Linked DNA regions of Rhinolophus ferrumequinum. The protein of the gene in region 2 interacts with the protein of the main gene of each other region in a pairwise test. Links are inferred from orthologs where the notes say so. Each region holds a gene or a part of one and is shown on either strand. Other genes may lie near its edges. The genes, in order: PAX6, IPO13, PBX4 and PITX1.

The links.
Region 1: the proteins of IPO13 (region 2) and PAX6 interact in a two-hybrid assay, tested with the Homo sapiens proteins (2 studies listed by BioGRID and IntAct). The link is inferred for Rhinolophus ferrumequinum from reciprocal best matches to the Homo sapiens genes IPO13 and PAX6.
Region 3: the proteins of IPO13 (region 2) and PBX4 interact in binary tests that used the Homo sapiens proteins (3 or more experiments, as listed by UniProt). The link is inferred for Rhinolophus ferrumequinum from reciprocal best matches to the Homo sapiens genes IPO13 and PBX4.
Region 4: the proteins of IPO13 (region 2) and PITX1 interact in binary tests that used the Homo sapiens proteins (3 or more experiments, as listed by UniProt). The link is inferred for Rhinolophus ferrumequinum from reciprocal best matches to the Homo sapiens genes IPO13 and PITX1.

The regions. Positions count from the first base shown.
Region 1 is NC_046294.1:25,537,196-25,545,215, forward strand, and holds the start of PAX6 (paired box protein Pax-6), read left to right. Parts: upstream 1-4,652; 5' UTR 4,653-4,788; intron 4,789-5,965; exon of another isoform or gene 5,966-6,193; intron 6,194-8,020. UniProt on the Homo sapiens protein: Transcription factor with important functions in the development of the eye, nose, central nervous system and pancreas. Required for the differentiation of pancreatic islet alpha cells.
Region 2 is NC_046292.1:31,055,586-31,063,602, forward strand, and holds the start of IPO13 (importin-13), read left to right. Parts: upstream 1-4,638; 5' UTR 4,639-5,498; coding exon 5,499-5,582; intron 5,583-7,406; coding exon 7,407-8,017. UniProt on the Homo sapiens protein: Functions in nuclear protein import as nuclear transport receptor. Serves as receptor for nuclear localization signals (NLS) in cargo substrates.
Region 3 is NC_046301.1:51,959,861-51,967,238, reverse strand, and holds the start of PBX4 (pre-B-cell leukemia transcription factor 4), read left to right. Parts: upstream 1-3,877; 5' UTR 3,878-3,924; coding exon 3,925-4,067; intron 4,068-4,228; exon of another isoform or gene 4,229-4,287; intron 4,288-7,378. Other genes in the region: LPAR2 (lysophosphatidic acid receptor 2), read left to right, coding at 409-722.
Region 4 is NC_046307.1:10,741,749-10,749,589, reverse strand, and holds the start of PITX1 (pituitary homeobox 1), read left to right. Parts: upstream 1-4,367; 5' UTR 4,368-4,753; intron 4,754-7,841. UniProt on the Homo sapiens protein: Sequence-specific transcription factor that binds gene promoters and activates their transcription. May play a role in the development of anterior structures, and in particular, the brain and facies and in specifying the identity or structure of hindlimb.

The DNA.
Region 1 (8,020 bases), on a different chromosome or scaffold from region 2:
GGAGAGGCCTAGGTGCCCAAGCTGTTGGTGAGGTGAGGCGTGTCCCTGTGTATCCTTGTGTTTAGGTCGGGGGCCCCCCTTATCTTATATGTAACAGCGATATATATGTTAATTGAAAACTTCTGAATTTAAAAAGGTTGTGACAAGTTATAATTTGTCCTGTCAATGCCTGGAATCCTTATTTATCTCTTTAGCTTGCCTCCCGCTTGCGCCTGTCAGCTAACAGCTTGCCTAACTCGTTGACTTCCTCACTCATGGCACGGAAATGACAAATGTGCTGTTTTATCCGTACAATTTATTTCATTATTGTTGCCAGCACGAAGCATCACAATCAATCATAATGAAGTCCAGTTGGCAGGTGTCAATCTTGGTGTGTTTTTGTATGTCTCAGTCTATATTTAATCCAATTATAAGGGTCACAGAGTAAGTGCCAATCCTCTTGTTACAACTCACATCTTATTTAAGATTTAAAGTAAAAAAAGTCAACTCAATCACATGGTCCTTTGGGGGAAGGAAGGGGGATGCCTTTGAAACCCCCATCTCTCTCTCTCTCTCTCTGCCTTCTCACCTCCAGTTTAAATTACGCAGCCATCCCTTTTTATTAAAGAGTTGCAGGGAATCCCAGTTTTATGCGCATTTGTGTGCAAATGAGGCTCTCCTTATTTTGCTAAAGTAGAAGCAGGCTTAATGATGAGAGATCTTTCCGCTCATTGCCCATTCAAATACAATTGTAGATCGAAGGCGGCCTTGTCACGTTGAGAAAAAGTGAATTTCTAACATCCAGGACGTGCCTGTCTACTTTCAGAGAATTGCATCCAATCACCCTTAGGGAATTCAGCTAATGTCTCTGTCCCCACCCAGGCAAGGGAAAGAAAGAAATCAAACATGGTGCCATAGACTGACTGACTTCACATGAAAATGTTGAGAAGGAAAGGAAAAGCAGAGTTTTCTCAAATTGATTGTAATCAGGATTTTCTTAGTGGGAAAGCAAACTGGAAGGATTCGGAGATTTTCCCAAATGTCCAGGAAAACTTTATGATGGGATAGAATGGACAGGAGAGGAACCGAAATATTTCTTTGAATGAGAGCAGGAAAATAATTGAACAGCAGAGATACCACAATACTGCATATAACCATGCCATTATGCAGTCTTTTAGACCTGAGTGAAGAAATGGCAAATACTAACTTCGCTAAATATTTTCCTTTTTTAATGCTCAGATTCACAAAACATTCCTCCAGTTTTTATTTAAAACAAAATCTTGTTTTAAAAAGCTTGCCATTTAAGGAGAAGGAAGTGAAGGGGAAGGAAGAAAGAGCAAGAGCCAAATGCACTGCCCGTTAAGTTTAATATATGGATTTCTGTCTTGTACAGCTATTTGAAATAATGCAATACACAGTATTTTTCTCAATTAGTCAGGGATTTTTCCCTCTCTTTCTATTATTGTTTTATGCAAAAGATTTGTATTAAACCCTTTTATAAATTAGTACCCTCCCAGGAATAATTTTAAAAATAGAAGTTAACAGGATGGAATATGTCCAGACTTAGTAAAATGAAATTAAAATACTTAAGTGGAAAAATCCATTTTTTACTTTCAATTGTTTCTAGAATGGCCAGATCCATTCTCAGTGAAAAGACAAATACTAAATCAATTCCCACCCACCCTGTAGCACAGATCCTGGAGGAGAGGCTTCCAGTCTGGAAGCTGCTTTATTTGCATAAAGGAGAGAGAGAGAGAGAGAGAGAGAGAGAGAGAGAGAGAGAGAGAGAGAGAGAGAGAGAGAGAGAGAGAGAGAGAGAGAGAGAGAGAGAGAGAGAGAGAGAGAGAGAGAGATACTTTGGACAAGAACTACATATATCAGCTACAGTTCAAGCCCAGGACGGATCTATCTTCCCGTCCCTTTCTCCTTCCATTCAAGCCTTGCTCTCGAACCATTCTTCTCCTTCCCTTCCTCCACTCCCCTCCACTCCTACCCCCTATCTCAGATCCCTCACACTTTCCCCATTCCCCACCTCGCCTTGGTGAGCTGGAGGGGAAGCTCTGGGCTTCCCGGCAGTCCTAGGCCAGGGAACCCCCGTACACCCGGCGGCTGCCAAGCTCACTCACTGCTATTGTGAATAACCAGAGCTTGGGACTGCCCTAGGTATCGGGGGATTCCTGTTTCTGGACCTTTTCACCCCACGTACAGCCCGCCTCCTGTTGCACTCCGCATCCCTGTGTTACGAGTCGTCGATGACGCCCCGGAGCCGCCCGCGCTGCTGGGAGATGCGGCCTAGAGAGTCGGCCTCTGCCCAGGCGGGGCAAGGCCGGGCCTCGCAGGCTGAGCACTACTATGGGCCGGGCCGGGCCCAGCCGCCCCCTAGGCAGGTGGCAGGCTCCCGGGTCCAGAGCTATCCGGAGACCAATCTTCGGCAGCAGCTGAACTTGCACCCTCCCCCGTGGCGACCCCGGCGCAAGCTTCCTCCCGCCCAGTCTTCTGTGCCCGGGGCAAATGGAGAGCGGCTCCTGCGTTGGCCCGGAGCGCGGAAGGGCCTAGCCAGGCCTCGCCTCCACCGCCCCGCGTTCCCGCGCCTCCCAAGCGCGCCCTTTATTGACAGGCAGATAAGAAGGCCCGGGCCGTGGCGTTTCCAGCGTCGCTCTTGAGCACCCTGCCGGGTTGCAGGGATCCGCACACATTTAATGGCCCGGACTACAAACAATCACGGAGCAGCCTTCCCGGCGGCCTCCGTTCGGGACAGAGGGTGCGGGTGGGGAGAGAGCTGGTGACACCAACTACGGAGCTAAGGAGGCCTGCTCAGCCCCGGGGCCTACACGCAGTCCAAACTGTAAGGCAAACCCTGGAGCGGGCGAGACCTCGGACATCTGGGGCCGAAAGCTGGACCAGGTCCTGGAGAAGAGCTAGGGCTCTTGCCAAGAAACTAGGTCACTAGAGAAGGCTGGTGGCGGTGGAGAAACCCTAGCAAACACCTCTCTGAGTACCACTCCCCAGCAGTGCTGGGATTGGGGAGACAGGACCACAGCAGGGTTCTGGCTCAGATGAGAGTGGAGGGCGGTAGGATGGATGTTCCTGGCCCCTGACACTGGAAGACCTGAGGGTTGGGATGGGGAGAAATAGTGGGTACCGGTTGTAAATAAGGAAGATCTCCACGCTTAGACCACTCTGTCTATTCTCCCATTCTCCTCTTCACTTCTATCCTGCCTTCAGGGCCTCGAAGGGCTGAGGGAAAAAAAATCAAGTCAGGGAGCTGGCTGGCCCAGTGGAGAGGAGCGAGTAGGCAGACTGCCTGGAGCCTCCTCCCGGCTGGTTGCGAAGCCCCACACCTGTCCAGGTGTGCCCGGGGCGGGAGCGGGAACCTCTCGACCTCTCGTGCGCCATCTGTGCTCCGCTCTCCTTTTGCCGCACCCACCCAAGCAAGGCGAACAGGAACTGGTCCTGGAGCCTCCTGCCGCCGAGGCGTCAACCTCCTAGCCTCAAGAAACACACGCCCGGGTCTACCAGGGCTAGGCGTCCCACGAGCTGCTTAAAAGCCAATCCACGCCCCACCACTTCCCCTCCTGCCACCTCGTCAAGCGTCCCTGGCTCTCCCTGACGGACCTCTGTCACTTCCAAGTTGGAGACTCGGATGGAGGCTGAGAACGAAGGGAATGGACATTGAGAAGCCTCCTCCCCTGTTGAGGAGGGAGAGACCCGGGAATCACAACGCGGGTTTAGGTCCCCATCCCAAGATGCCCGGCTCGACTAAATTACGTATCTCCCAATCCACATTGGGTGTAAGGGGAAAACAAGCACAGACCACCAGGTCAGTATCCTGCCCACCCCGCCCCAATTTCTGTGGTTTCCTGGGCCCCGGGAAGGGGAATCTTGACTTCAGAATTTGGGACTTTCCTATTTTCCTCCTCTAGGCCACAGAGTCAATAGTTAACCCCCCAAGTCAAAGATTAATAAAATCACCTACATTTTCTACGTGACTGGAGCCTTTCAACCCAAGGAGGCGCGAGAAGCCAGCGGAGGGTGCCGTTTGTGGCTCCCCTCAGAAAAAACCAGCAGGCCTGGAGAGGATTTTGGCCTAGCCTAAGAGAAGCAATCGCTCTCGCTCGTTCTTTCCCGGGATCCCCGTCTGTGCCTAGCTGGTGACTTGTAAGCCTATAAGCCAGTTTTAGGGTACCCATCGCTCCTTGAGCTCCTCTTGAAAACGATTTCCTCTAGAGGACCCTCTCAACCCCGGTGTAACCCCGGTGTGTCTCTGATAAAGTGACTCCCTCGGGAATGGAAGGAGGGGGCCAGGTGGGCACCCAGAAAGGTAGCTGGCCAGCCGAGAGGAGGGACCCACGTTCCAGGAGGGAAGAGCGTACTTAGTAGGACTAGTTTCTTTGGGGTGACTCAACGCCCTAAGGGAGAGCGGGTCGGGTTGGGGTTGGGCTGGGCGTGAGCAGCCAAGGGCTGGGCCCAGGCAGGCCACCGCAGGGCTTGGAGCGGGCCGGATTCGGGGTGGGGAGGAAGAGGCTCCCGCCGGGCCTGAGCGCTGGTGGGCACGGAGCTGAGCCCAACTCTGGCCGCCATGACGTCACGCGTGCCGGGCAGCCAATGAGAACCGCGCTGGCATGGATATTAAGGAAAGTTAGCGCTTGCTTGAGCACCCTCTTTTCTTATCATTGACATTTAAACTCTGGGGCAGGTCCTCGCGTAGAACGCGGCTGTCAGATCTGCCACTTCCCCTGCCGAGCGGCGGTGAGAATTGTGGGAACCGGCGCCGCCAGGCTCACCTGCCTCCCCGCCCTCCGCTCCCAGGTAACCGCCCGGGCTCCGGCCCCCGCCCGGCTCCGGGCCCGCGCCGCCTCTCCGCTGCCCGCGACTGGTGCCCCCAAATCCAAACCCGCCCCAAGTAGCCCGGGAGCTTGATTTTTGCTTTTAAAAGGAGGCATAAAAGATGGAGGGGAGTTACAGGGGGCGGAATCAGATAGGGAAGGAGGGGGCGTCTTGTCTTTGCCTAGCGTGTTTTTCTGCAAAAGTAGCAAAATGTTTCAGTCCCCAGAGTGGACTTCCAGTTGGGTGCTGAGCTGGGTTAAGGGGGGCGGGGAGAGGGAGATCGGGATCTGCTACTGTCTGCAGAAGCCGTTCGCTACCGTGAGAAATGCAGGGGTGGGGGGGATGCAGTTTGCACCTAGAACACCCCGAATCACAATTCACAACATTCACGCGTGGAGACGTCCCCATCCGCGCCTGGAGCTTGTGGAAACGCCCCGTCGCGGACCCGGCGAAGTGCAGCAAAAGTTTCCCGCGGTTGCAAAGTGTAGATGGTCGGACGGAAACAAAGTCCTAGAGATGGGAGTTCGTTTCTCAGAGAGGAGCGGAGGACTAAAGAATGCTGCCGGCAGAGCTGGGCAGCGCGTAAAGCCCCCAGCGTGTGATTTGAGCTTCACTTCGGAAGACCTAATAATTAGCGATTCTCACTGAGCTAGAACGCGGGCTCGGGTTACCGCCGGCACAGCGCTGGCTGCCTCGGTGGGAAGCCTGTGAGCGCCAGGGGGGCCGGGCCGCTGAGTGCCGGGGAGAACAGCGCCCGACTACTCTCCTGCCCCCGGATGGCCCAAGCCGGGCTCCAGAAGTTTCTCCAACGTGGGTCAGGGAAGGGAAGACCCCATACTTAGACTCACTCGTGGTTCTGCGTGGCGAAAGTTGCAGAAGGTTAGCCTCAAACAGCCAGGAACGCCTGGGCACAGAAGCACCCGCCCGGAGGTTGGGAGGCCTCTAGGTCAGGCCGGAGCTCGCCCCTCATTCCCACTTTTGCTCCTAGCGCCACCTCTCTAGAGGTTCTGGGTGTTCATCTTTGGAGGACGTTTGTGTCTCAGGCACCTATGACAGGTGCTTGGGACCACTGCCCAACTCCGAGCGGTGGCCGACCCCTGCCCACCTCGCTCGGGAAGCAAGGGAATGAGAGAAGTGGCCACCCGGCCGAGCACCTTACCTGAGTCTGGGTCCTCTCCTCGGTTCCTTTCTCCAGAGTTGAGGGGCGATCAGGTTGCCCACTTAGCTGTGGGAAGTGGACCTTCCCCTCTAGTCATAAATCAAACCCAGCCATCCTCGGGCCTCCTCCCTCATTAGAGATGTTTATTGGAGATTGTGTTTATTCGGGCTGTCACGGCGAGAAAACGCAGTGACATAATTGCCTCTGACCAGAGTCTTCGCGCCGCGCCCAGAGCAAGCCGGGGACCTCCTCTGTCGCCTTCTCACTCCCGTGCCCTCCTTAATCGGAGGGCGTATGTGGTTGGCTGGTCTTTTTTTTCCCTCGGACCCTCTCAAGTAATTTGAATTATAGAACGAGCTACTATTCAAATATCCCCTGGGCCTGGCGTTTACTTATTTATTTATTTTAGAATTTTAAAGGAAAACCGGAGGGAGCTTAACGCCCCTCCAGGGCGGAAGGGGGCAGCGCGGGAGAGATGGAAAGAGAGTCCCTCTGGCTGCGCAAACTTTCTGGCAGGTCCGGCTGCCGCGCGCGGAGGCCAGACACCACCCGGCGCCAGAGCCTGGCCTGAGCGGTGGGGAGCTCACCCAGAGGAAGGGATGCCACGGATATTGGTGGTGTTATATGTTGTTTTATTTTTCATTCTCTCTCATCTCGGGAGGAATCTGAGGCTTCAAGGGCCTAGGCTGAGGATTCTTAAACTTTCCCGGCCGGACTCCTCGAACCAACCTGCCGCTCCTTCCCCGCCTCTCGCCCCGGCTGCCCCCGGGCTTCAGTTTTCCCCGCTGGCCAGGTTTGTAAGTCACCATCTGTGAGACTGAGTTAGGAAGTGATGAAAAGCGCCGAATTGTTCTCTAATTGAAAATACTATTTTTTTATTTTTTATTTTTTTGGTGACCGGGCTGACAAATATGTGGGATCCCGGCTTTTGATCCCTCACTGCTGCCTCTATTCTCCAATCGCTAATAAAACTCGCATTGAGCCCCTTAGTGCCTTGATTAACAGGCAGATTAACTCTTACTGGGGTGGGGAACAGCTTGTCCCAATCAATGTCATTTTAAGAGCCCGTCAGGATACGCTTAGCTCCGGTTCCCTGGCTGCTCGAGCGAACCAGCCATGACATTTGCTCCTTCCCCCTCCCCCAGCTTCATAACCCCCAGCAAAGCCCCTAGTTCCCGGCCCGCGTGTTCCCTGCTCCACGCCAGGACAAATGCTAGACTCGGTCCCTGGCCTTTAAAATAGGCAGCTGTTTAGAGAAGGGATCTCTAGGTCTCGAGAAGGAACTGAGGTGGCCTTGGCTTTCTTTTCGTTTGAAGCTGAACTCTTGACTCTTGAGGGCGGAGGTTACAGTGAAAAGAGAGTTGGGGAACCGTCGCAGTGACAAAAATGGAAAGCAAACTTTCCTAGGAACCCTATTTGCAAAAATCAGAGAGTACCACTAATTTCAAATGTCCCACACATCAGGAGTTTTAAACCTGGTCCCCATCTGGACAGCAGCATGTAGAGTTAGGGAAGCAAAGGCTTAGGAGTCCGGAGATCTCTTGGCTAGGAAACACAATTGGACAATGATTTTTAAAAAGTGTTTGGGTGAGAGGTAGAGAAAGAGAGACGCTTGCCTCCTAATGTGAATGGAAGAGGACCGAACCTACTTGCCATTTGGCAGGAGGGGAGGTAAGGCGAGGGCACCGCAGCTCTCTCCAGCCGAGCGTGACCACAGCCTGGAGGCGCTACCCGGCCGGCTCCCGGCTCTCTTCTGCTTCCCGGCGCTCGGGTCTCTGCGAGGCTGCGGGGTGAACTAGAAATCTGCAGGTTGCCGGGGAAAGAAAGGGGGGTAAAGGCCTCGTGTGGAGGAGGCACCCCAAACTGAGCGGTAGCGGTGGGTGCCTTTGCCTTTCGTGCTCGTTTGACCCTTTTCATCAGCTCTGCTATCGAGGGAACCCACCTTCCCAGGGCCAGCAAAGAGAGAGCCGCTTGAGGCTCTGCAAATTGACGCAGGTGTCTGCGGAGACTTTCCTCCTTCAAAGAAAAGCTCTTCTCCACCCTCCCCAGAGCGCC
Region 2 (8,017 bases):
TTCACTCCTTCAGATCCATTCTCCATGCTTCTCTACCCTGCTCTAAGCCACACATCAACGAGCTTGCCTGCTCTACAGCACCAACCTCCATCCAGTGACACCAGCCAGACACGTGAGCAACATTCTAGACTCCTTAAGCTCAGTCACTTCCCTTACCCATTGGTCCTCAAATCTTTAAATCTCGCAAGTGCATCCCCTTTTCTCTATTCCCAATGTTATTCTGTGGAGGCCTTCGTGATTTGGGGAATGGTTTATTCCCAAAACTGGTCATCCTCCTAACTGGTCTCTTTGAGGTCTCAACTGCCTCCAGTCATTCTCAAGCCTGCAGCCAGAGAAGTCAATATTCTCTTGTCATTAATTGAGCACTAACTGTCATGCACTGGGCTAGTTACGGGAATTCAGAGGTCAGCCAGAAACATGGTCTGCCATTAAGAAGACCATAGTTGGAGGTGGAGGTGGGGGAAGGGTGCCAGGTTTAGCAGATAAAAACACAGGACATCCAGTTAAACTTGAATTTCAGATAAACAATAAGTACTTTATTTTTATGTCTCATGCAATAATGGCTGGTATTCAAATTTAAGTTGGTGTCCTGTATTTTTTTTCTGGGAACCAAAAATGGGAGTAAACAAGTAAACAAAAAATGCAACCAACCGTCATAAGTGCCCCAGTAGAAGTATGACTAGGATACAGTTATGTGTGTCAGGGAGGGAGAAGACTTTCTACACTCACAAAGAGAGAGGACTCAGTTCCACCTGGATGGACGGGGAAGAAGAGCCAGAAAAGCCTTCATGGGGGAGGCAGCACTTGAGCTGAGGCTTGAAAAGTGACATATTTGCCAAATGTGAGTGAGGGGCATTGAGCCTGTACTGATTATCCTTTATCGCCTTCCTTATCTCTCAGCTTGAAATTCACCCTTTTCACTCACCATGCCCTGTCCATCGAGGTCTGGGTGTCAGCCTTGGGCAGGGGTTGGGGGTGAGGGCCTCTTCCTGGGCTCTCTATCTCATCCCTAGAACTCAGCTACTCCTAAATTATTTAGATTTCTCTTCACTTCTTACTAGCCGATCACTCTTTACTTCAATCCCATTACAGTTCAAAATTCTTATATTAAACTGTCTCTGTGTGCCTACTATGTGGTTTCTCCTGATTGGGCCCAGCCTGACACAGCCTTCTAAGCAGAGGCAGTAGCATGAACAAAGGCGGGGAAGTGTGGAACAGCCGGTGTGTCCCAGGATAGCCAGCAATTTCATGTAGAATTAGGGGGAGGCCCTCATCTAGGCTAGAGAGATCATAAAGATCCTTGAATGCTATACAAAGGAGCTTGGACTTTATCCTGAGTGGAGCCACTGAAGGGTTTTACGCGGGACTGGCTAAAGAGACGTTTCAGATGGATCACTGGCTGTTGTATCTAATATGAACTAGAAGGGCCAACGCAGCGGGCACCAGTTACAGCTGCTGCAGTCAGAGCCATTCAGGCAATAAATAAATGCTGGCCTTGATCTAGAGCAGAAGCAGTGTGGAAGGACAGACGAGACGTGAGGCACAATAAACAGGACTTGGTGACAAACTGGTGGTGAGCGCTTGATGAAAGGGAGGGTTTCCAGGGCTCTGGCTTAGGTGGCTGGCAAGGAACATAGAGGATGTAGTATTTTTAGCGTGTGATGGGGTAAGGTATGGGGGGGGTCATGAGTTTGTTTTTGTACATGTTTAACTTGAGGTGCCTGTGACACCTTCAGAGGGCAAGGACTCTCCGGCAGCTGTAACTCACAACAGTCTGGACCAGAGACATCTGGGAGTCACAGCTCCAAGCCAAACAAGTGGTGAGAGGTTGAGGAATAAGAAGAGAAGCAGAGGCTAAGGCCTGGAGAACCAACATTTAAGGAACAGAGAGAGGAAGAGGGGCAAGCCTGTGAAGGGGCCCAAATGGGAGTGGTCAGAGTAGTAGAGGAAACCAAAACAGAACAGGGGGAGGGAGTGGTCAACAGGGCCAAATGCAGCAGTAAAATCAAGCCACATAAGGGCTGAAATTGCCCATTGGCTTGTCTTGCAACATGGTAACCTAGGGACTCAGGCTAACCCTCTTGCTAAAAACAACTAGAAGTGCTAGACAAAACACATATTTTTAAAAATGAAATGCATCCATGAGCTGGTAAACATAAGAAATATTCAGGCCAAAAAAATAAGTGAAAGCAGGAAGCTACCAAGGTAAGCGAAGCTAAGTAGTTGGCTTTCACCTTGAGGGCATTTGCCTTACCTGGTGAACCCAAGCATTGGCTTGTGAGGGCTCCTGAGTTTATGGTGGAATCCTACCCAGAAACTTCTCCATAAGACCAGGACCCCAAAGGCTACTATCACGCTTAAGGATGAACTAGAAATAATCCTGCCCCTTTTCTACCTAACCTCTCTCCCTCAAACCAGGGGACTACAGAGAAAATTACTCACATTTCACCTTGGTGCAGTGGAAGTGGGGAAAACCTCCCCAAAATACTTAATTACAAGCAGCCCTTATTTAATTTTGCAAACTAAATCCACACTATTTTGGAAGGCTGAAAATCTTCAAATCTTCAAACCTTCAAAGAAGTTAATATGTCATAGTTATGGATTGCTAGTGGTTCCAGGTGACCAACAGAAGCTCCCTCTCCTCCTCTCCTGAGCTCTGGAATGCTCTCTCCTGAACGGGGAACCCCCTCCTAGAGTTGTCACAGGTTCTGGCCCCTATATATCCTACTCTTGTCACTCAGAGGACGGAAAAACCCATTTGTAACTAGCTCCCAAAGATTCATTCCTGACTTGGCTCTAAGTTATCGTGGATTGCTATCCACATCTCCTGAAGTCCCCTTTGATCTGGTACCCAGAAATGCCCTAACCCGCCTCAGGCCTATTTCAATCCGTCTGTCCTAGGTGATGTTTGTGAAGCATGTTCAGGAGCCATTGTTGGTGAAACTTGGCTTCTTTCTCTGCCAGGGGAACCTCCAGGGGCAAGAAGAAGCCTTGGATTGCAAGCAGAAAGAAAACGCATTCACCAAGTGGTGGTCTCTGGGCCCAGGCCTATTCATACACCATTTCATGTCCTTCATTGGAGAAATTCCTGTTCTCATTTTATTTTTAAAGTGAGTTTCAGAAGAAGTCAAGGTATTATGGCTAGAAAGAAGTACAGACAGGTTTTGAACATGGCCTAAGAGCCTTAACCCTCCCCGTCGTCCGCCACCTCCCACAGTAAAATCTGTTAATTATCAGGGCCAGGTCATTTCACAGCTCTAAGCACCCACTTGGAATCAGTTACTTTTTTGTGGCTTCCTGTTTCCTCCTTCCAAATCTCCCCTGCTTCTACTCTTTCCTCCTTCAATTTAGCCTACATACAACAAGTAGACTTTTCTAAAATGCAAATCCAGTCATCAGTGCTCACTTGAATCCCCATCATGGTCTCATATTGCACTTAGGATAAAGTCTAAACTCCTTCAAGAGTTTACGGCTCCCAACTTGTTTTTCCAACCTCACCTGTTACTCATCCCCTCCCCCTTCCTCACCCCACATACATTTTATCCCCTTAGCCTGAACACAAATTACTAGCTGTACTTCACTTTGAGAAAGATTTCTTGAGTGACTGAATTCCCACTGGACTTTGCTTATAAGCTAATCGAGTCCCCGTCCGCCCCAGTTTCTCCATTCTTCAAGCTCAGATCAAGTTTCTCCTCCTCAGGGAAGCCTGTATCCACCTTCTCAGGCCTCAGCAGCTATTGCCAACGCCGGCTTCCTCCACTGAGCACAAGTACAGAGGTCCTTTCCCTTTAGATGTTTCCCCACCCCCACCCCCGCCCCCTTTGGGGTAGCTGGCAAGAGTTGATAAAAGGATAAGTGGACGGGCACCAGAAAGGGGCTGCTGGGGTCTGCCGCCGACCAGATCTGTGGCTGCTCTCTGCTACCCTAGTTGAGTGTCCAGGAACAAGATAAGCTCAACTTTCCCCAACCTCAGTTTCCTCATCTAAAAATGGTGAATAAAAATACCCACCTCAGAACTGTGGAGAGAATTGAACCTAAGGTATGCAAAGTATTGTTCCTAGCACTTAAGTGTGAGCTATTCTTATTCTAATTACTCGTAAAGAGAAGTTGCTTCCAAGAAACTTATGGAATTCTCCGAGCACTGTCCATGGTATGCGGTTTCCCGGTTGCTCAGTGGGTGATTCTGAGAGCCGTCCTTTTTGATTCCTGAGGCGCGCCAAGCCCCCTTTCTTCTCAGTGGTGCTGACGCCTTCTTCCCAGACGGCCCCCAGGATGTACCCACAGCGGAGCACTAGAGTGCTATGCCCCCTCCCCCCACACACACTTACTTCACTCCCCCAACACACACACACCTTATCTCCAGGTGGGAGCCTGTCTGGGCTCCCACCTCCATCCACCCGCCCCTCGGGAGTCACACACTCTTAGGGAGCTGCTCTGCAGCTCCTCCCGACGGTTTGACTGGGAATGTCTCAGTGAGCCTGGGACTTGCGGGGCTCCGCGGGTCACCAGCCCACGTGCTCCGGTCTCAGTCGCAAGGCGCCGCCCCCCACCCCCGCTAGGCGCAACGGACTATATTTCCCAGGGTGCGCAGCGGCGGGACCTCGGCTCGGCAAAGGCCTCGAGCGGCACGCCGCTCCATCGCCTGCTCGGGGTCGCGCCGGCTGGCGCGAGGACAGGACCGAAGACCCGGAATGAGTTTCCGCGCAGTTCCGCTGGGCAGTGCCGGGCTGTGCCGGGCCGGGCCAGGGTAGGCGTAGGGGAGGGACGGCGTCTGAGTCGGCTTTGCCGGTGACAGGCGCTCGGGGCAGCCCGCGCCTTGCTGAGGTCCCCTCCCCATCCCCGCCGGGCCGGCTCGTCTGTCAGTCACTGGGGCGGAGGCAGAGGCTGTAGCGGGGCCAGAGCCGGGCGGTGAGCAGAGCGCGGGCCAGGCCGAGCGGAGGGGACCTGCCACAACCCCTCAACATTACGGACTCTTCGCCCCAGACTGTCGCAGCTGCACCCCCGCGCTTCGTTGGAACGCCTCCGTAACCCGCGAAGGGCTCTCTCCCCCGTGACCTCCCACCCCCGTGACCTCCTTATAGGACCCAGGAGCTCACTCAGACGAGGGTGTTGTGGGTACAGGCCATCGACCCTGTGACCCCTCTCGGGCCAGGGGCTCGGTTTCCCCCATAGGCCTCCCTCCCTTATGACTCCCTCCTCGCAGATTCTGGGAACAGAGCCGTGACCTACCACTAGGAGACCCCCCTGAGAACTCACTGACGGCTTCCTCCTGAGTCCCCCTCATTGGGTCTCCTCCTAAGAGCACCCCTTTTGCTTTCTGGCAAGTCCCCCACTCCCAGCCGAGGTGGGGAGACCTCGGCAGCCATGCCCGCCCTGGGTCCTCTGTCACCCCACCACTCCCTGGGCACCCAAGCCGGGGTCTAGCAGGCGGCCAGCAGCCAAGGGGCTGGGGCAGGAAACAGGTCAGGGTCCACCTCCCTGCTGGGGAAGAAGCAAAGATGGAGCGGCGGGAGGAGCAGCGGGGGGCTGCTGGGGCTGGAGAAGCACCAGCCCTGGACTTCACTGTGGAGAACGTGGAGAAGGTACGAGGGCCCTGGGGTGGGCACTCTAGTGACAGAGCAGAAGTTCTGGGGACTGACACTGATGCCAAGGCCCAGGCCTGGGCTGAGTGCCCGCTGGGATGGTGCCCCCAGGACACCTGGCATTTGCTGTCTCTCTGGGCAGGCAGGAAAGCAGTGTTACAATTTCTAATGGGCTATTTATGGCTTTCCTTAGACATTGGTCCTCTGGGGATAGATACTCTAGGGTCTTGGGATGGTCTCTCCAGAGTGCTGATGGCTTAGACCTCCAGCCAGACTGGCTATTCTCCAGCTCCGTGAGAACTGCATGAGCAGTGCAGTAAGAAACCAGGAGCCCAGGAGACCTGCAGCTTAGTCCCCAGGAACCATACTGATGCTGACCCATCCTGGACATGTTTTGTTGAGCCAAGGGTCTCAGAAAATAGTCTGGGACTAAAACAATCTGGATTGTGTTTTCACTCTTTCTTGGAGAAAGGTCCTTCCTTTATTGGATGGAGGCCAGACCAGCCCTGGGCAGGCAGGAGTAGGGCTGGCCCCCTTTGTTTTGTGCTGGGCCCAAGGGACCTGGTCCTGCTGGCAGTCTCGGGGTTCTTTCCTACTCACCTGCCCACATGGCTTCCTGCCATGGAACCCCCAGACTCCCCCACTGCAATCGTTTTTGAAAACTGCTTTTCTGGTTGTTCTCTTCTGGGTTTTACCTGCAGAGGCCTGAAATGTAGAAATGCATCCCCCCCAAGCACCCCGCCACCCATGAATGGTGAGATGGGGCTACCTTGCTGCAAAATTGGCAATGGTTGCAGATATTCATTTGTTATTCTTGAGCCCTGTTTGCCATACCAAATGGTGAGGATACATCCCTTCTGCTTCTGTTCTCTGCCTGCCTCTGCATCCCCAAGGGACCAAACAAGGACAATGACCATAACTGGCCATCAGGGGACAGATATGGCCTAAGCCTACTTGGATGGAGACTGCTTAGGGAGTCAGAGTCCTGGCCTCACTCTTCCACCGCCTGGGGCTGGGCAGTGTTGGCATGGTGGTGCACCGTTCCATGTGCAACCGGGGAGTTAAACCTCTGTTTTCTTACTGTGTGAGGTCGCAGTGGAATTGGGACCCTGGGGATTCAGCTAGTTGAGAGCTCCAGGCTCTCATTTGCCAGGGCTGAAGATCAAGACTTCTCTGGACCAACTTTTTGGACCCTTACGTGCGCTCTCTGAGGGGTGTTCTCATCCTTCTCTCCAGAATGTCTCTGTCGTAGGCTGCCTGGCAAAGTCTTAGTCCTGCTCAGATTTCACACTGGCTTTGGTGCCAGCATCTGGAGTGACCTAGTGATGATCCTGGGGGAGCTGAATGGAGCTTTTGGAGTTGATGGGAGCAGCTGTGTCTGGGAGGGTCGGGGGGGGGGGTCCCCCTCAGGCTCTTCCATGCTTTTCTCGGGCTTAGCTTCATTCCTGTGGAACCATTCCTTCCACCTGGGCCTCGTCCTTTACCTCAAGTGCCCCCTCCCCTTTGGCGAGCTCAGCCTTCTCTGTTTTAAATTAATAATAATAATATTATTATTTGCTTTCTTGTGGAGATTCACTCTTTGAACCCATAACGTTTTGCTATAAGGAGAAGAGAATATGGTAGAGCATGGGCCAAGTTCAGGTTCTTAAGATATTGGCAGGACCCCAGGCTCATGAAACTGCAGAGCCCTCAGCTCTCCCTTCCTGCTCGGCCCTCCAGTCAGAAAGAGAGAGCAGTCTTGCAGGACCAAGTCATGCCCCCGTTTCTGGGCTCGGGCAGGGTCCAAAGTGGCCAGCATCTGCTCAGGCCTGTGCTGTCCTGCAGGCGCTGCACCAGCTCTACTACGACCCCAACATTGAGAACAAGAACCTGGCTCAGAAGTGGCTGATGCAGGCCCAGGTCTCCCCACAGGCCTGGCACTTCAGCTGGCAGCTACTGCAGCCCGACAAGGTGCCTGAGATCCAGTACTTTGGGGCCAGTGCCCTGCACATCAAGATCTCTCGCTACTGGAGTGACATCCCCACCGATCAGTACGAAAGTCTAAAGGCACAGCTCTTCACTCAGATCACCCGCTTCGCCAGTGGTTCCAAGATTGTGCTCACACGGCTGTGTGTGGCGCTGGCCTCACTGGCTCTCAGCATGATGCCTGACGCTTGGCCATGTGCTGTGGCAGATATGGTACGGCTCTTCCAGGCTGAGGACTCGCCAGTGGATGGCCAGGGCCGCTGTCTGGCTCTGCTGGAGCTGCTGACAGTGCTGCCTGAGGAATTTCAGACCAGCCGCCTGCCCCAGTATCGCAAAGGCCTGGTGCGGACCAGCCTGGCTGTGGAGTGTGGGGCTGTCTTCCCGTTGCTGGAGCAGCTGCTCCAGCAGCCCAGCTCACCCAGCTGTGTACGTCAGAAGGTGCTCAAGTGCTTTTCCAGCTGGGTTCAGCT
Region 3 (7,378 bases), on a different chromosome or scaffold from region 2:
TGTGGAGGTGACAAGAGGCTTTCCTGTTAGGACACACACACACACCCCAAGAACAAGGAGCAACTCTTCCCAGTGATCCCCTTCTCCCCACCAAGTAACTGGTCTATCCCACAGTGACCTCCTTTCCCCCATAAAACAATCCTCCACGTACGTGTAGAAACATCCAGGGCTAGAGCCACCACGTACCAGATAGGAAAGGTGTCCCTTCCAACAGACAAATCAGAGAAAGGTGTCCCCTCTTAGCAGTTCTGCCTTGTCATGCTGCCAAGGCAGCAAGACAGGCCACCCTGGCACTGCAAACCACAGCCCCTGTCCAAGCTCTCGATACCCCTCCAGTCCTGAGCTCAGAGCCGTGGGTGCCAGGCCCCCCGACAGCTGACCCTGCTCACCTCAGGCTCCATCCCACAGGGGCATTTGTGGTCTGCTGGACACCGGCCCAGGTGGTGCTGCTCCTGGATGGTCTGGACTGCAAGTCTTGCAATGTCCTGGCTGTGGAGAAGTATTTCCTACTCTTGGCTGAGGCCAACTCACTGGTCAATGCCGTGGTGTACTCGTGCCGCGATGCTGAGATGCGCCGCACCTTCCGCCGCCTCCTCTGCTGTCTGTGCCTGCGCCAGTCCACCCGCGAGTCCGCCCGCTGTGCATCCTCTGCCCGGATAGGTGCCAGCACTCGCATCATGCTTCCTGAGAATGGCCACCCATTGATGGACTCCACCCTTTAGCCAACCTTGGACTTCAACAGGATGCAGCAAGTACCAGATGGCACCCCTGACAACTCGTGGATGTGCCTGGCTCAACCCAATCTGAGGGACAGAATTAAAGGCAGACCCTTGGTCTAGATGGCACGACACCACTGCCAGGCCTTCCCAGATACAACTCTACTCCAGGGCCTGTGGGTGTGTGGGCATCTGGCTCTTCAATGATCTCAGGTTGTGGGGTTTTTAATGAACATTTTCCTGTTTTTACTGCACATCCCTGGTAAACCCTGTGGACCTTTTCCTTGTCCGTGGTGGTATGGCTGTTAAAGGTGGGAGAGATGAGGTCTCTCTCAGGCCACGCTGCCCAGTATAAAACAAAGACGGACCGTGGATACACCTTCTATCTGCCTCAGGCTGATTCTCCAGGGGCACAGACTGAGAGGTGCTCAGTGGGAGCTAGGAAAGGTGTGTGGCCCCTTGCAGCCTCTGGAGCTTGCCTGTCCCCATTAGACTTAAGGGCTTCCATGGGGGAAGGGCATGTTAAGAAGTAAACCCTTCTTCCTCCTCTGAGGTCTCCAAAGCACTTTCTGTGATCAACTCAGTCTGTTGCTGTGTCGCAGAATTGTCCACCTCAGCTTTAGCCGGGCAGGGATCCTTCCACATGGCATCTCCTCAGTCCTGTTCTCATTCACCTTCAGTCTCTGACTGGCTGTCACTCCATCTCTCTTGGAGTCTTGCGTCTGTTCCCTCTTGCTTGTCTTCTCCACTTCTTCCCCTGCCTCCAACTTGCTGCCTGCCTGTCTCCATTCTCTGGAACCCAGAGTACTCTGTGGCCTGTGTGAGTCTTCTCTCTCCCACCTGCCCTTTTATCCGAGTCCAGGTTGTTACCAGTTAGGTGTGTCCATCCCATTGCACACCACACTTATGGGCCAGAGGTACTGGCGTCCATGGAGCAGGGTGAAAATTCGAATTTGCCATTTCTCAGGCTCCTCTGATGTTACCCGCACACTGGCAAGCATTTTAGGTGCATTATTTCATCATTGCCTGCAGGTATTACACTTACTTGCACGTGAGGACAGTGGCTCAGAGGTTAAAATCTGGCCCATGGGTACACAGCTTTGAAAGGGTACGGAGATGCATCGAGGGACTATAGAGGCCCCTGGAGAAAGGGATTCAGATTCCCACAAAGTGTGGAGTTGATCACAAGCTCAGCCTGGTTTTCCCCTCAGCTCACTGCCCCCCAAGGCCTCAGACATGCCATACTCGGGATGATGAGCCCCCTCTTTGATGCTCATAGCTAAGCGTGGTATAGACCAGGAGACAGGGTGATGACCCACTTCACGTTCACATTGAATAACAGCCAAATTTGAACCCAGGCCTTCCATCAGCGGCCAAATTCTTAAAGTAGTAAAGTATGCATTGCCAAAGAACCAAAAACATCTAGGTCCTTCTATATTAAATGAGGCTGGGATTCCCTTCGAGAAAACCCCCTGCCGTAAGGCAGCTCTGTGAGGAAGCAAAATGAACTGGGGCACTGGGTGCTTCTCCAAGGTCCAAGGTGGGCAGCATGGCTCCTAGGGCCTGAGGCCTGAGCCTCCAGAGGTGATAAGCCAGCAGCTTCCACCATGTGCCTGGCCACATGCCCATGAAAGATGCCGTCCTTGCCTCCATGGAGCTCTGGGCTTTTTGACAGACATGTCACTTTGGGGGCCAAGGCAGCCAAGCAATTCCTGTAGTTTCCAAAAGGCAGCTCTGTGTTTTACTTGCTCTGAGCTGGCTACTCTTCAAATCAGTATCCTCCAGATTCTAACTCACACTCCTTAAATATCCTTTGGGATTTTGTCCCTTCAGTTTTTTCCTCTTGTGGATCTCTCTTCTCTACCAGGTGACTTCAAGTTTTCATCTCTGCTGGTCCTTGAAGTTTTCAAACACTTACCCACCCACCCACCCCCACCTCAATCTCTGAAGGACACCAAAGTTACCCACTATTTTCAGGCCTCCTGTGCAAGTGCTGTGCCAGCAGCTAGCTGACATTTTGTACACGGCATCTGCTCTCTATGGTGCCCACATGTTCTAGTACTTCCTGTTATGGGGGCAAAGTGGGGGGTTTCCTTTGTTAGGGAGCTTTCAAAGTTGTTCTTACACTGGCCCACATCATTCATTTCCATTCCCTGCTCTCTCTTTTGAAGTCCCCCAATCAAATCACACCAGATGGTTATTGCGTTTCTTCTCCAGCAGCAATGGGAAAAAGACCCTGCCCTGAAGGGTTGGCAGCCAGGCTGACCTTTTATGAGCCTCCATCTGGAGTCTGCCCTCAGAGCAAACAAGCTCAAGGCAGTCCCATTACTTTGGAGAAGTAATTCGTGTCCAGTTTGTTCCTTTTCTGTCACACTCTGGGGTGCATCACAAAGTAGGTCTTCTGGAAGCATCCATTCATTCGGTAACCAAGTGCTAGGGTTTTCTAGGCCTGGAATGCTGCAAAGAGAATGAATAAATGAGAGAGGTCGCGTTTAAGCCAGATCTTGACAGCTGAATAGAATTGACTTCTACAGCTGAGAAAATCATTGTTCTAATCTCCCAGCCACCGTCATCACAAACCTGTGCGCCTCGTGGAAAGCTCCCAGGGAGGAACCAGGAGGCTGGGAGTCCTAGTGACCCACCTGATGGTGCTGAGGCTGAGGGGAGCATTAGGGGATTGAGCAGGGGTCTGGGGCTCGGACTTCTGGAGATGGATGGGGTTTTGAGAGCCATGGGAGGTTCTGAGGACGTGTGAGCTGCTCTGAGAAGGGGGACTCAGGAGATGTGCGGGTCTCAGGAGTGGGAGGCTCAGATATGAGGGCCTCAGGAAGAGTGGGGGCTCTGAGGAGGAGTGGAGATTGAGGAGTGAGGTTCTGAGCGGGAGCTGCTGCTCTGAGGAGATGCGAGAGGCGGATATGGGGGTGGGGGGGCCTCTGAAATGGGGCGGAGCCAACCTCACCCTCTCTAGGGCAAGAGGAGGGTGGAAAATGCCGTTGCCTCGGCAACCCCTAACCGAGTCCTGGGCCGCTGAGGGGAGCTGTTAGGGGCGTGTCCGTGGGCGGTGCGCGGCGGCCTGGTAGGCGGCGGGGGCCCGGCCCAGGCGCGCGCTGCTCCCCAGGGGCGGCGGCGGCGGCGGTTGGCTGCGGCGCGAGCGCAAGTGCTCCAGGCCCGGCGGCTCCTCCTCAGCGCCCGCCCGGCCCCACAGTCCATGGACGCCCCGCCGCGCCCCGCGCTGCCGTCCCCCGCCCCGTCCCTCCCGCCGCCCGGGCCCCCACCGGGCCATGACACGGGCGACGTCCTGCAGCAGATCATGGCCATCACGGACCAGAGCCTGGAGGAGGCGCAGGCCAGGTGCTGCTCGGGGGCGGGGGCCGCCCAAAGTGGAGGCCGTGAAGGGGGCGGGTCGAGGGGCCAGAGCCCGGGCGGCATGGGGTGTGAAGCTGAGGAGAGGGCTGAGCGAGATTGTGGGGTGCGTCTCTGAGCCGGGATGGCAGGTGTGGGGGCCTTGAGGAGGACGACGAAGGTTTTTATGGGGTTAAAATGGAACGGATTGAACGGCCGGCCGATGGAGGTAAGCAGAGGGTAGTGGGTTTTAGGAGCTCATCTTGGTGCGAAAGGGGTGGGTTTAAGGGGAGTTTGTAGATGGGGAGGTTTATGGTGAAAGGTGGTTTCGGGGTTTATGCAACGTAAGGGAAGTGTTGGGGTGTAAATGGATGGGTTAGTGGGATTCGTGAGGGTGGGAAGTTTTGAGGGCTGATAAAGGAGAGTGAGTTGTGGGACTTGGGAAAGAATAGATGGTTGACGCGGTTGTGGGAACCGTCGGGAAAAGTGGTTAGTGGGGGAGTTGGGTGGAAGCGAAGGACGCTTTTTTATTTAATTTGGCAAATATTCATTAAACACTATATGCAGAGCACCTAGCCGGGTGCTGACATAGTTGCTGTTCTCAAGCTCATGGTTTGAGGGAGAGAACGTAAGTGCAAAACACTAAGTATACATTGTGAGAAAAGCTGTAGTAAGAAAAGGGATGGCATGCAGTGGGGAGCCAGATGGAGGAGGCACAGCACCGTCAAAGGCCCGGAGGTGGGAAACAGCAGAAAGAAAGCAGAGCCGAGGACTGAAAGTCCCCAGCTGAGTCTGGAGAGAGGCTGGAAGCAGATCACACAGAGCCTACAAGTCTCAGAGTTTGAGGCTTTTGTTTGTTTGTTTTTCAGCTGCCATGGGAAAATCACAGCAGTTTTAAGACCACTGCCCTCTTACCCCCACTCACCACTGTCAGCCAGCCAGGATTGGTAAACTCTGCTTCACAAAGGCAGCACATTGTGTTTGGGACCTGCTGGAATGACAGTGGTACTTTGGTTTTCGAACGTAATCCGTTCCGGAAGACCGTTCGAGTTCTGAAACGTTCGGAAATAGCCGACAGCTAGGCCTCAGCATCTTGCACTCAGTGGAAGCCCTGTGACATGTTCGACTTCCGAGGCGTGTTTGAAAACCGAAGCATTTACTCCTGGGTTTATGATGTTTGTAAACCGAAATGTTCGTCAATGGAGACGTTCGAAAACCGAGGTACTACTGTATAGAAACTAGGAAAGGACCAAAGTCCTTTTGGAGGGTAAGGCCTTGTTGAATGGGGGCTTGTTTGGGGGAGAAGGATGGTCCCTGGAATGGGATCAGGGTCTGGTGGTGTGGACTGTGCAGTCATTAGAGCCCTCTAGTGAGGAGGGGTTAAAAAACTACCGTGTTTCCCCGAAAATAAGACCTAGCCGGACCGTCAGCTCTAATGCGTCTTTTGGAGCAAAAATTAATATAAGACACGGTCTTATTTTAATATAAGACCGGGTATTATATAATATAATATAAAACCGCGTCTTATATTAATTTTTGCTCCAAAAGACGCATTAGAGCTGACGGTGCGGCTAGGTCTTATTTTCAGCCCCAGGAAAGAGGAGATAAAGTAAAAGGTGGATACAGCATTCATTTGTTCTTCGTCCTTTCCTTTACTTCTTGTGGAAAGTCAACTCTGCAGTTTCATAACCTCTACCTGAGGGTTAGGGGTGTCACCCCACAACCACGTTCACTCTACTCTTTGGAGCATTGTGCTAGGTGCTAGAGAAACCAAGATGGCTAAGATATTCTCTGCCCTCTTGGAACTCATTGAGAAGCAGGGTGTGTGGGAGACGAATTTATAAATAGTTATATCAAGAATATGCTGAGTAGAGATAATTCTGGGCACGAAAGAGCTGGGCTGGGAGAGGGTGTCTTTGTGTGATGCCCTGTTTGCTAGACTAGCCAGAGAGCAGAGGCTTTGTTGTACTTTCCTTTGTATTCCCAGAGCTGTGCACAATAGCGTTCATAAAGTTTTGTGGCACTTAGCTTCTGGAAGGATTCGCAGGACGTGGGGGAGGGGGGAATGGGCTCTTCATACCCCGGTGCTCTTCGGTTTGTGGCGCTACCTGTGTTTCTTCTGTTCTGGGGGGAGAGTTGCTTAACCAATGAGCTCTGCCCAGCTGTGGCCTTCCTCAGGCCACAGCACAGCCACAAAGCTGTTTTCTTGTAGCCATCTCTTGAGACTCCCCTAGACAGGCTTTAGAATAAAATGCAGTCAGTCACCTCTTCCTTGCTGCTCTTGAAGACAGCTCTTCTTCTTTTAAGGCTAAGAAATTGAATAGTGGGGCATTATACATGCTGACAACATGGCTCTTAGATTAGCTGGTTCTTGATTTCTTTCTGTGGTAAAAAAGACTCCCTGGGGCTTTTAGTTTGAGATCTGGAAGCTTCAGATCTGCCCCTCTTCATTGGAGGTAGCCTTTAGATGAACTCTAAGCCCTAAAAGTCCCACAAGTGCAGACAACAGTCAGTCCCCAGGTGGGCCGCGTATACCACTCTGGAGCAAACAGCTTGGATGGGTCATTTCCTCAGTACACTCTGCAGCCTGGTGAGATTATCAACCTGAGATCATTCTGCACCCCCCACACACACCCCCACGGGAGATTGTGTCTTACTTACATCTTTCTACATTATCAGGGAGGCAGCTCCAAGGGCTGCTGAATAATTTATTTTGTCATTATGGCTAACTAGTCTCAGGATAGCCACTGTGTATTGTTCTTCCTTCTGACTACACAGATAGTGGAGCGATATCAGGAACTTTGGGATGCACCATCGTAGTTTAGATGCAGCCCAAGTCAGCTGGAGACTGTCTGTGTAAGTGGCGACCAGTCTCCTTGAGTGATCTTGTGACCTTAGGCTACACCCTGACCTCTTCCTGGAGAAGGGATAGTTCCTCATCTTCTGATTTGAAGCTTTCACTGATCACAAAGGCTGATGGAATGCTTTTTGCCCTAATAGTGAGATTCCTAAGAAGTCAGTATGAAAACTCTAGAGCTAGGAATGGATGAGGGGTGAGTTTTGGAAACCCGATCAAAAATAGGAGGCAAAAATGGTCAGCAGTGTCATCATGGAGACCCAGGCTCCATACCCGACGTTCTGGTAGAAGCAGCTGAAGAGGACTGACCCTTCTTGAAGTCGTTCTGCCTATTGGAATGTTCTGCCTATTGGTGGGTTGTGTTGCAGGACTGGCAGATTTGGCTGTCGTGGTTGCTTCTTGACCCTTTGTTTGCAGGTGCCTTCAGATACGCTAGAGAGCTGCACTGTCCAATGTGTGTAGC
Region 4 (7,841 bases), on a different chromosome or scaffold from region 2:
AATTCAGAATTTCCAACTCAGGGCTAATAGGCTGCCGTCAGCCGGTCAGCCCGAGCAGGCAGGAGTAATTATTTTAAAAGCTTCCGACAAGGCTGTTCGGCACGCCGCCTCCCAAACTGTGTGCGGTAGTGGCTGTGCCCCTTTGGACTCTGAGCTCCCTGTCTCCCCTCCCCTCCCCCACCCCACGCAGCAAGCAGACGTCTGGAAGGCACTGGCTGCAGAGCCTGTGAGGATGGGAGAGACAGACCAGGCTTACAGAAGGGTAAACCGAGGCCCTCTTAGGGGCACGTCTAGAAAGGCAGGGGCCACACGTCTTACTTTCGTATTTCCCACACCGACCTGTGGCCTCCTGTGCTCATGGTGGATGGATGAACTGATAAACAAAGAAAAAGATGGATGGAGTGGCTGAGTGAAGGACGTTGCAATACTCTGTTCCTCTCTTACCTCCTGAAGTCCATCCTCCACTATCCAGGTAGTGACCGTTCTAGAATCTACAGCTGACCAGACCTCTCACTGTTTCAACCCTTCATCGGTTCCTCTTTGCCTTCAGGATAATATCCCACCCTCCTAACGAGGATTATGAAGCCCTGTGGTATCTGCTACCCACTCAATTCACCAGCTTCTTCTTCCCCCATTCTCTGCCTTTCCACCTGTCCCAGTGCTATCCCACAGAGGGGTTGGTGGCGGTGGAAAGCTGTTCCAGACAAACTCAAGGCCTGTATGTCACTCAGGGCCCTTCAACACCAGGCTTCGGATTTCCTCTCCAGCACTGTGCTCCAAATACGTTTATAGGTTGGTGTGCCTGCCTCCTTGACTCAACCCAAATGAGCAGGAGCCAACCGTCTTTGTATCTCTGCCATCTCAGGCACAGAATATGTGCTCTTTAAACTTTTGCTGACCTGAAAGAGGCCAATCCAGAAAGGTCCCAAACCAGGGCTCTTTCCACTAGTCCATGCAGATGCTGATAGGTCTGCAACGAAAAAAATTACTTGAGATATCCAAATGGTTTCTATTTTTGCTCTGGCTGCCAGGAAGCTCAGAGTGCAATATAATAATGCTAAAATAAATTAATATCTTATCTGGTCATAAGGATTCTTCTCTAACTTTAGAGTCTCTAACTCGCTCCTCACAGATGACAAAGGGAACACAAATAGATGCCCCCCTCGCTCTGTGGATTCACCGCTGTATGTGAGTCAACAGACTCTGAGCCACCTCTCAGACGTTCCGGTAGCCCTCCAACCCTCCCACAGATGAGCGCAGGAACAATCCTGATGGACTTCAGACTCTCTCAACAGAGCCAATGCCTCCCCATCACATTGGAGTGGACGCCCTACTAACTCCATCAGCAGCCCGAAGAGAACCTTCACAGGGAAGGGACTTCTTTGCAAAGCAACCCATTCCCTGCCACCAGCAGCTCAGAGACCTTGTTCCAGGACAGCAACCAGTATTCCTCAGGGAGTGTGGTAAGTATTTCTTAAGATGGTGGAGCTCCCTTTTCACCCTTCTGGGGTGGAGCTTGTGACCGTAACCTGGTCATCCGCAGTCCTGAGCCACTCTTCCCCAAAAAGTGACTGGTTCAGCAGTGGGCATGTGAGCTGCACCTAACCAGTCAGCAAAACCAAATCCCTCCCCCCCCCCCAGGGAGTGTCCTATGGGTGGCAAGAGAGGCTCGGCTCTGCTCTCAAGCTTACAAAGTGGTAGGTGGATAACAGGTTTCCATCGATGATTACACAAATATTGATTTCAATACCATGGCTACAAGAGCGATGAAGGGAAAGGACACACTCCCTATTTTCACTGAATATTGAGATAAGAAACACAGCTCGAAGAATTGTTACGCCTGTCCGTGGAACTATGGCTGAGGACATTTGCCCATTATGTTTAGTACGACCCACGTGACAAATTCATCTCAGAGTTCCGTACTAGGGAGAACAACTTTTGATTAGAGGAAGCATGTCAGTTTGGAAGGAAACACAAAGCAAATGTGTCAGACAATTTTGCTGCCCTTTTTTGATTGGATACCTGGAAGCTAAAGTGATATTCAGACTGTGTTACTTCTGTTCCTGGTGGTTTCAGCTCCAACCTTCCTCTCTCTGACTGATCCCTCTTCCTTTGCCAAGATGGCGAAACCTAAAGAGAAATTGTGAAAAATTATTTTTCAAAGAAGTGAAAATAAGGTAATAAAAAACGTGTTTTGACCCACCTCAGTTCACCAAGAATTTCCAGGCCATCACGTGCTGGTCCCACCCCAACGGCTTGCCCAGCTTCCCTGGTCTGAAACTTGCTAGTAGCTAAGCAGGGGATGAGGGGTTTGTCAATTAAATCAAAGAAGGGGGCTGCTGCTGCCTTACTCAACCAACATGACCACCCTGGGGAAAGGAGGAAACAAAACTGTGAGCAAACTGTTTTAAAGAGCAAAGCAACCTGGCAGCTACCAGCATGAACATTCATCCTGGCTGCCCACCCCCACATAGGTCCGCACCCCTCACCTCCATCATCTCATAGATTTCTCTATGCCGTGGAAACTCTTATTATTCTCCCATTTCACAGATAGGGAAGCTGAGGCTGGGAGAGCTTATGTGATTTGCCCAAGGCCACAGAGCCAGTAAAAGACAGAAACAAGATTCCAACTCTGGCCATCAGGTCTCAGAGGCAGCTTTTTGGCACCACAGGCTCTGCCTGGGAACAAAAGCACGCAAAGAATCACACACACATGCCCAGTCACCACTGGGAAGACAACCAGGAAAATCACCAGTGTGCAGGGGTAAGAAGGTACAGTTTCCTAACACAAGCGCCAGAGTGAAAGCTTGATGCTTGCTGGGCCCTCCATACACAGTAAGGGTCCAGTTGCATTATGTCGGAAGAGGCCCCGGGAGCCTGGGGTGTGGAGGGGAAAGCTGCTTGAGACAAGGTCGGAAGAGTCTCAGCTTAGCAGCTCTGGGCCAGACCCGCCAACAGACCAGTTCCTCACATAAAACAGCCCTCGTAGCAGCAGGAGAAGCAGAGGCTAGAATTCCTGAAGTGCAAGCTCCAAGCTTGTGTTTCTGCCACCCCGGGACCAGGTCTGAAATCACGGGAGCCAAGGACTCAGCTCTTAACCCTTCCAGTCTTGTGTGCACCAAGCCACACACACCCACCGGAAAGGTGTTCCCACTGTTGAGAGTTGAGGGGACGCTGTGGATTACCCAAACAGCAGGGCAGGGTGCAGGGGCCAACCCTCGATCTGAGCGCCAAAGCCTCCCGAGCTTGGGTCAGGCAGGCTTCTGCTTTGGCTGTCAGGAGGGGGTCCTGGGTCATCCTGTTCCCGGGCCAGGTGGCCCTGGAGGCGCGGGTGAGCAGGGCACTGGGGCAGGCGCGGGGGCCGTGGCCTCTCACAGCAGCTGTTGGTGAGAACCAGGCAAGGAGGCGCCACCGATGACGGCACCTCATGAAACATTGATGCCCGGCCGCCGCACTGCCATCTCCCGGCACCTTGAGCCAAAGCTGCCGCCCTGGAGCACCGCAGCCTCCGGCGGGCAGGCCCCACACTCCTGAACCTGAAGGTCATCGTCCCCTGACAGTCTGACCAGCAGACCCACTGTCCCGTCCCAGGGCCCAGGCTCACACTGGGCACTTGGGGGAAGCAGGAGCCTGTTCCACCGCTTGCTTCCCCCACAAGGCTTCCCGCCGGGTTATCCGGTCATAGGCAGTCCTGGAGAACCTGGTGGCCTGGAGAGCACCCAGTCCCCCTCATTCCTGCCCAACTCCCAATGGCCACCAGCCAGGGACAGGACAACGGGGCCACATGGATTGCATCCTCTCCAGTGTGAGGGCCTGCCAGCAGGGCGACCGCTGGAGGGTGTGGAGAGGGGCTGGACGAGGGGTTACAGAAGCGTCTGTCCTTGTGGGGTCGGTCTCCCCTTTCCTCGTCAGCCCAACCCCTGAGAGGAGGATGTGGGAGGGGGGCAATCCTCCTAGCAGGGCAGGTCGGCCAGTTGCCCCTCCCCAGTCACACACACACACACACACACACACACACACACACACACACACACACACACAAACCCTGGGGTCTGTCCTCAAACCTCCTTGGCAGCCAAGCTCTGCTCCGAGGACTCTCCCTGCCAACTTGCAAGACCAGCTCCCTCCCGCAGAAAGGGGAAAAGGTCGAATCGCAAAACCCGGCTTGACCGTCACCTGGCAGGACCCTGGGAAACTCCGACCAGACCCGGACTAAACGTTGGTCGGGCTCGGCCCCTCACGTGCCAGGTGGGAAACTGAGCCCAAGGGAGAGAAAGTACGCGGGGCCTGGCCAGGACTCGCCGTGGCTTCGTCCGCATGCGGCCGGGCCCCTCCTCCATGAACGCTGTCCTGTGCTGCGTTCGCCGTCCTCGGGCCCCGGCCATCAGCCACGCCGACGACCCCTGCCTGCGCCTCGAGGGAGGCCCGGACCCCTAGCCAGCCGGACTGCGCGCCGCCCCCTCCCCGCTGGTCCAGGCAAGAGCCTCGCTTCCCCTCCCCCCTTCCCGCCTCCCAGGCCCGTGTCCCCGCCTTCCCCGCAGGCGACGGGTGGCGGCGGCAGGAGGAGCGGGCCCTGCCGAGGCAGCCCGGACCTTGCTCACTGGGATGTAGCGAACCAGCGGGGACCAAAGCTGCGCGCACAGCCGGGGACGCAGCTGGATCCGGGACCCGGCCGAAGTCGAAACCTAAGCCGGAGTCCGTGGCGAGCGAGCCCGGAGCCGACGAGCCGCACACGCAGCGCAGCCCGGGTCGGGTAAGAGTTGTTGGGCTAGGGGCGCCGGGTCTCCGCAGTGTTGGGGCGCAGGGAGGTGGTGGCCGAGTTCTGTGCTGTTTACTCCGCGAGTATGTAGGGACCAGCCAGTGGAGCGGGACTAAGCACATCGCGCGGAAGGCCAGGGTCCATCGAGGCAGCGCGAGGAGCTCGCTCCTACGCCAAGCGCACGGTCACAGCTGCCATCACCGGGCGCTACCTCACCTAACCGGTGGGCACACCCTACGCTTCAGCTCCGGGTAACCCAAAAGGGCAGCAGGCTCAGGGGCGCGGGCCCCAGCCCTGCGAAGGGCATAGCCTTGCATGTCTTTCACAGCCCCTCGTGGCGGCGCGGGCCGCAGGGTACCTCCGGGAGAAAGGGCCGGTGACAGGGCCACCCGCCGCTCCCCGTTGCGCCCGGGAAAGGGGCCCCAACACGAACGGAAGCGTTGGCCCCTCTGCACGCCGAGGGACTTCGGCCTTAGCTTCGTGTCAAGAGGGTATTTTTCCTAAACGAAACCGCTTCATTCGTTCGCTCGTTCGTTCCGGCAGCTATGCCGCAGAAAAGCCTCAGACGTGGGCCGCAGTCCCGGCGCTCTTCGCCGAGGATCCCGACGTCCCACCGCAGTGCTGGAGGCGCCCCAACCCCCGGCGGCCTGCCTCGCCGGCAAGGGTCGGGCTTTTCCTTACCCTAAGAGAAACCCCAAATGCTCTTCGCAAATCCAATAAAGACATCCCCGCGGCTTCTTCAGGGCGCAGTGGTTGACACAGGGAGCCTAAGCACGCAGCCGCTTCTCTAGACCCGGGTCCGGAATTCTGAAATTGAGCAGCCTTCTGAATCTGAGCGATTTGGGCCGCGCTAAAGCAAGGGCCCCGTGGGCGGCATCGCAGAAATGGGGATCCCAGGCTGGAATCCTTGTTCCGAGGTTTTCCGATTTAGGGATTCCCTTAATCTAAACTATCTGTGTCCACTTTTCTGAGAAACTAAGGCTCGGGTATTCTCTTGGCATTCCCAGTGGTCTCTGACAGCCACCAGGGCCAGAGGGAAGGCAACTCCAGGTTGCTGTCCACTTGGTCAAGGACACAGGTCTGGGGTGATGGCAAAAGCTACAGGCAGCAGGGGCAGCACAGGAGGGGACTTGCTGGCCCCTGCCCTTCCCTCACTGCTTTGGGACTCCTCATCTCTACTCAGAAAAGTTAAAAAGGTGGACGGGGACATGGAGACCAGGCTACCTGGATTCTAGGACACAGAGGTGGTATTTGCTGACCTTCAAGCCAGGCTCAGAGTGCCTTCCTCTCAGGAAAGCGGCTGCTGGGAAGAGGAGACCGTGGTAGCAAAAGCTGACCCTCTGCTCCCCAGGTGTGTGACAGCCCCTGCCACTTCCCTAGCCTTCTCTTCCTATCAGCTCAGCTGTTTTGGGGAACCAGATAGCGACCACTGGACTGGGGTGAGCTGTGAGCCCAGAGAGCGATGGGCCCTTACCAGCTGCTGACTGAGCGTTCTGAGTTCCGTGCTCCCATCTCCGCCCCATTTAGCCAACCTGGCTGAATACTTCTCAGCTCTTTCCCCACCAGGACAGGCTGGGGAACCCCAACTGACAGGAAGTTTCAGGCCGGGGTCCTCTGAAGCCTAAAGAATCCAGTAAGATTGTTCCCAGCCTCTACCTGAGTACCTCTTTTCCCCTCACCCAGTAATTGCTTCTATTCAAAGAAACAAAAGCTTTTTTATTGGGGAGGGGGTCTTAAAACCAGGCGGAAGGCAGTAGGTGGTCCCGTCTGCACTCCCAAAACTGGGTTTTCTAGTTTGAAGTTCCCCACGGCCTAAGAGGCTTAGGGCTGGAATGTCCCAGAGTCACGGATGGCCCCAGCGGGCGTGGGGGGTGGGGGGCAAGCCATGGCACATTCCTTCCCTTTTCCTAAAATCCCTTGATTCTGGCGCAGAGATTAGGGCGGAGTACCCTCATGAGTGGGTGGAAGGATGCCCTCCATGAGGACCCTCCAACCACCCTTCCCAAATAAAATGACGAAAGCATTCTTGGACACAGAGTCTGTTTTGAGTGAGACCAGCCTCAGGAAGGGTCCCTGTGGTGACGCTTCAACCCCCACTACAGCCCAGGCTCCTCTCTGATCAGCCCAGCCGGGACTCTAAGCCCCAAATTTCCTGAGAGTCACAAAATCATCGCTAACTCTGTGTGGCCTGGAGCCACGGAGACTGGGGCACATGGTTCCAGCCCCAGTAAGCCCCCTTCCCTCCTCTCCACATGTCCCATCGTCAAGCGGGCTGGAGGCTGAAGCAGAAGGCAGGGATTGCTGTGTCCCATGTGAGACAGGGGAACTGAGGCACAGTGCAGGTCAAACCTTGCCCAAGGTCACACAGCAAAGCCAGGGGAATACTGGACCCCTACATTTACTCCTGAAAGAGAGCTGCCTCCTGTTCTGTGTGTTGGTGTGACTTATCTGTGAGAGTGCAAGAAGCCCCTACACTACCTGGGATGGTGGCCAGTGGAGGGTGTGGCTGGGGAAGCAGAGAGAGAGTGCCCTGGTCCCTTCTCCAGCCAACACCCAGGATCAGGCCAGGGCCTCCTTTTTATCCATCACTTCCTCGCCGTGCCCCCACCCCATTCCGCACTACCTGTCCAGCAGAACAGACTCCCCAGGGAAGTTCCCAATAGTGTCAGCCCCTCTCTAGGGCTCAGGGCCCCTGGAGATATGGAGCTTCACCTACAATAGCCTGAGGGCCTTTCCATCCACACAGCAGGCATCAAGACTTCCAAATATAGGGAGTATTGTGACTGCCTGGGTCATTATCAGAGGCTTGGGGCCAGAGGGGAACACAGCAGGTGCTCAATCACTGCATCAAATGGATCAATGATGAGGGATGCAAGCCCCTCAGACTGAATAGCTAGACCTGCAGAGTCATAAAAGAGTCCCCGTCCATGGAAGTCCTGACCCTTTAGAGCCTCTGAGGAGTGAAGAGCTGTGATCCTCAGCCTCTGGGTGCCCACAGGCGTACCATTCATTCCATGTCCTGGGACCCAGTGTCCTGGGACCCAGAGTCCCTGGCCTGACACTTGGCGGGCTTAGAACACAT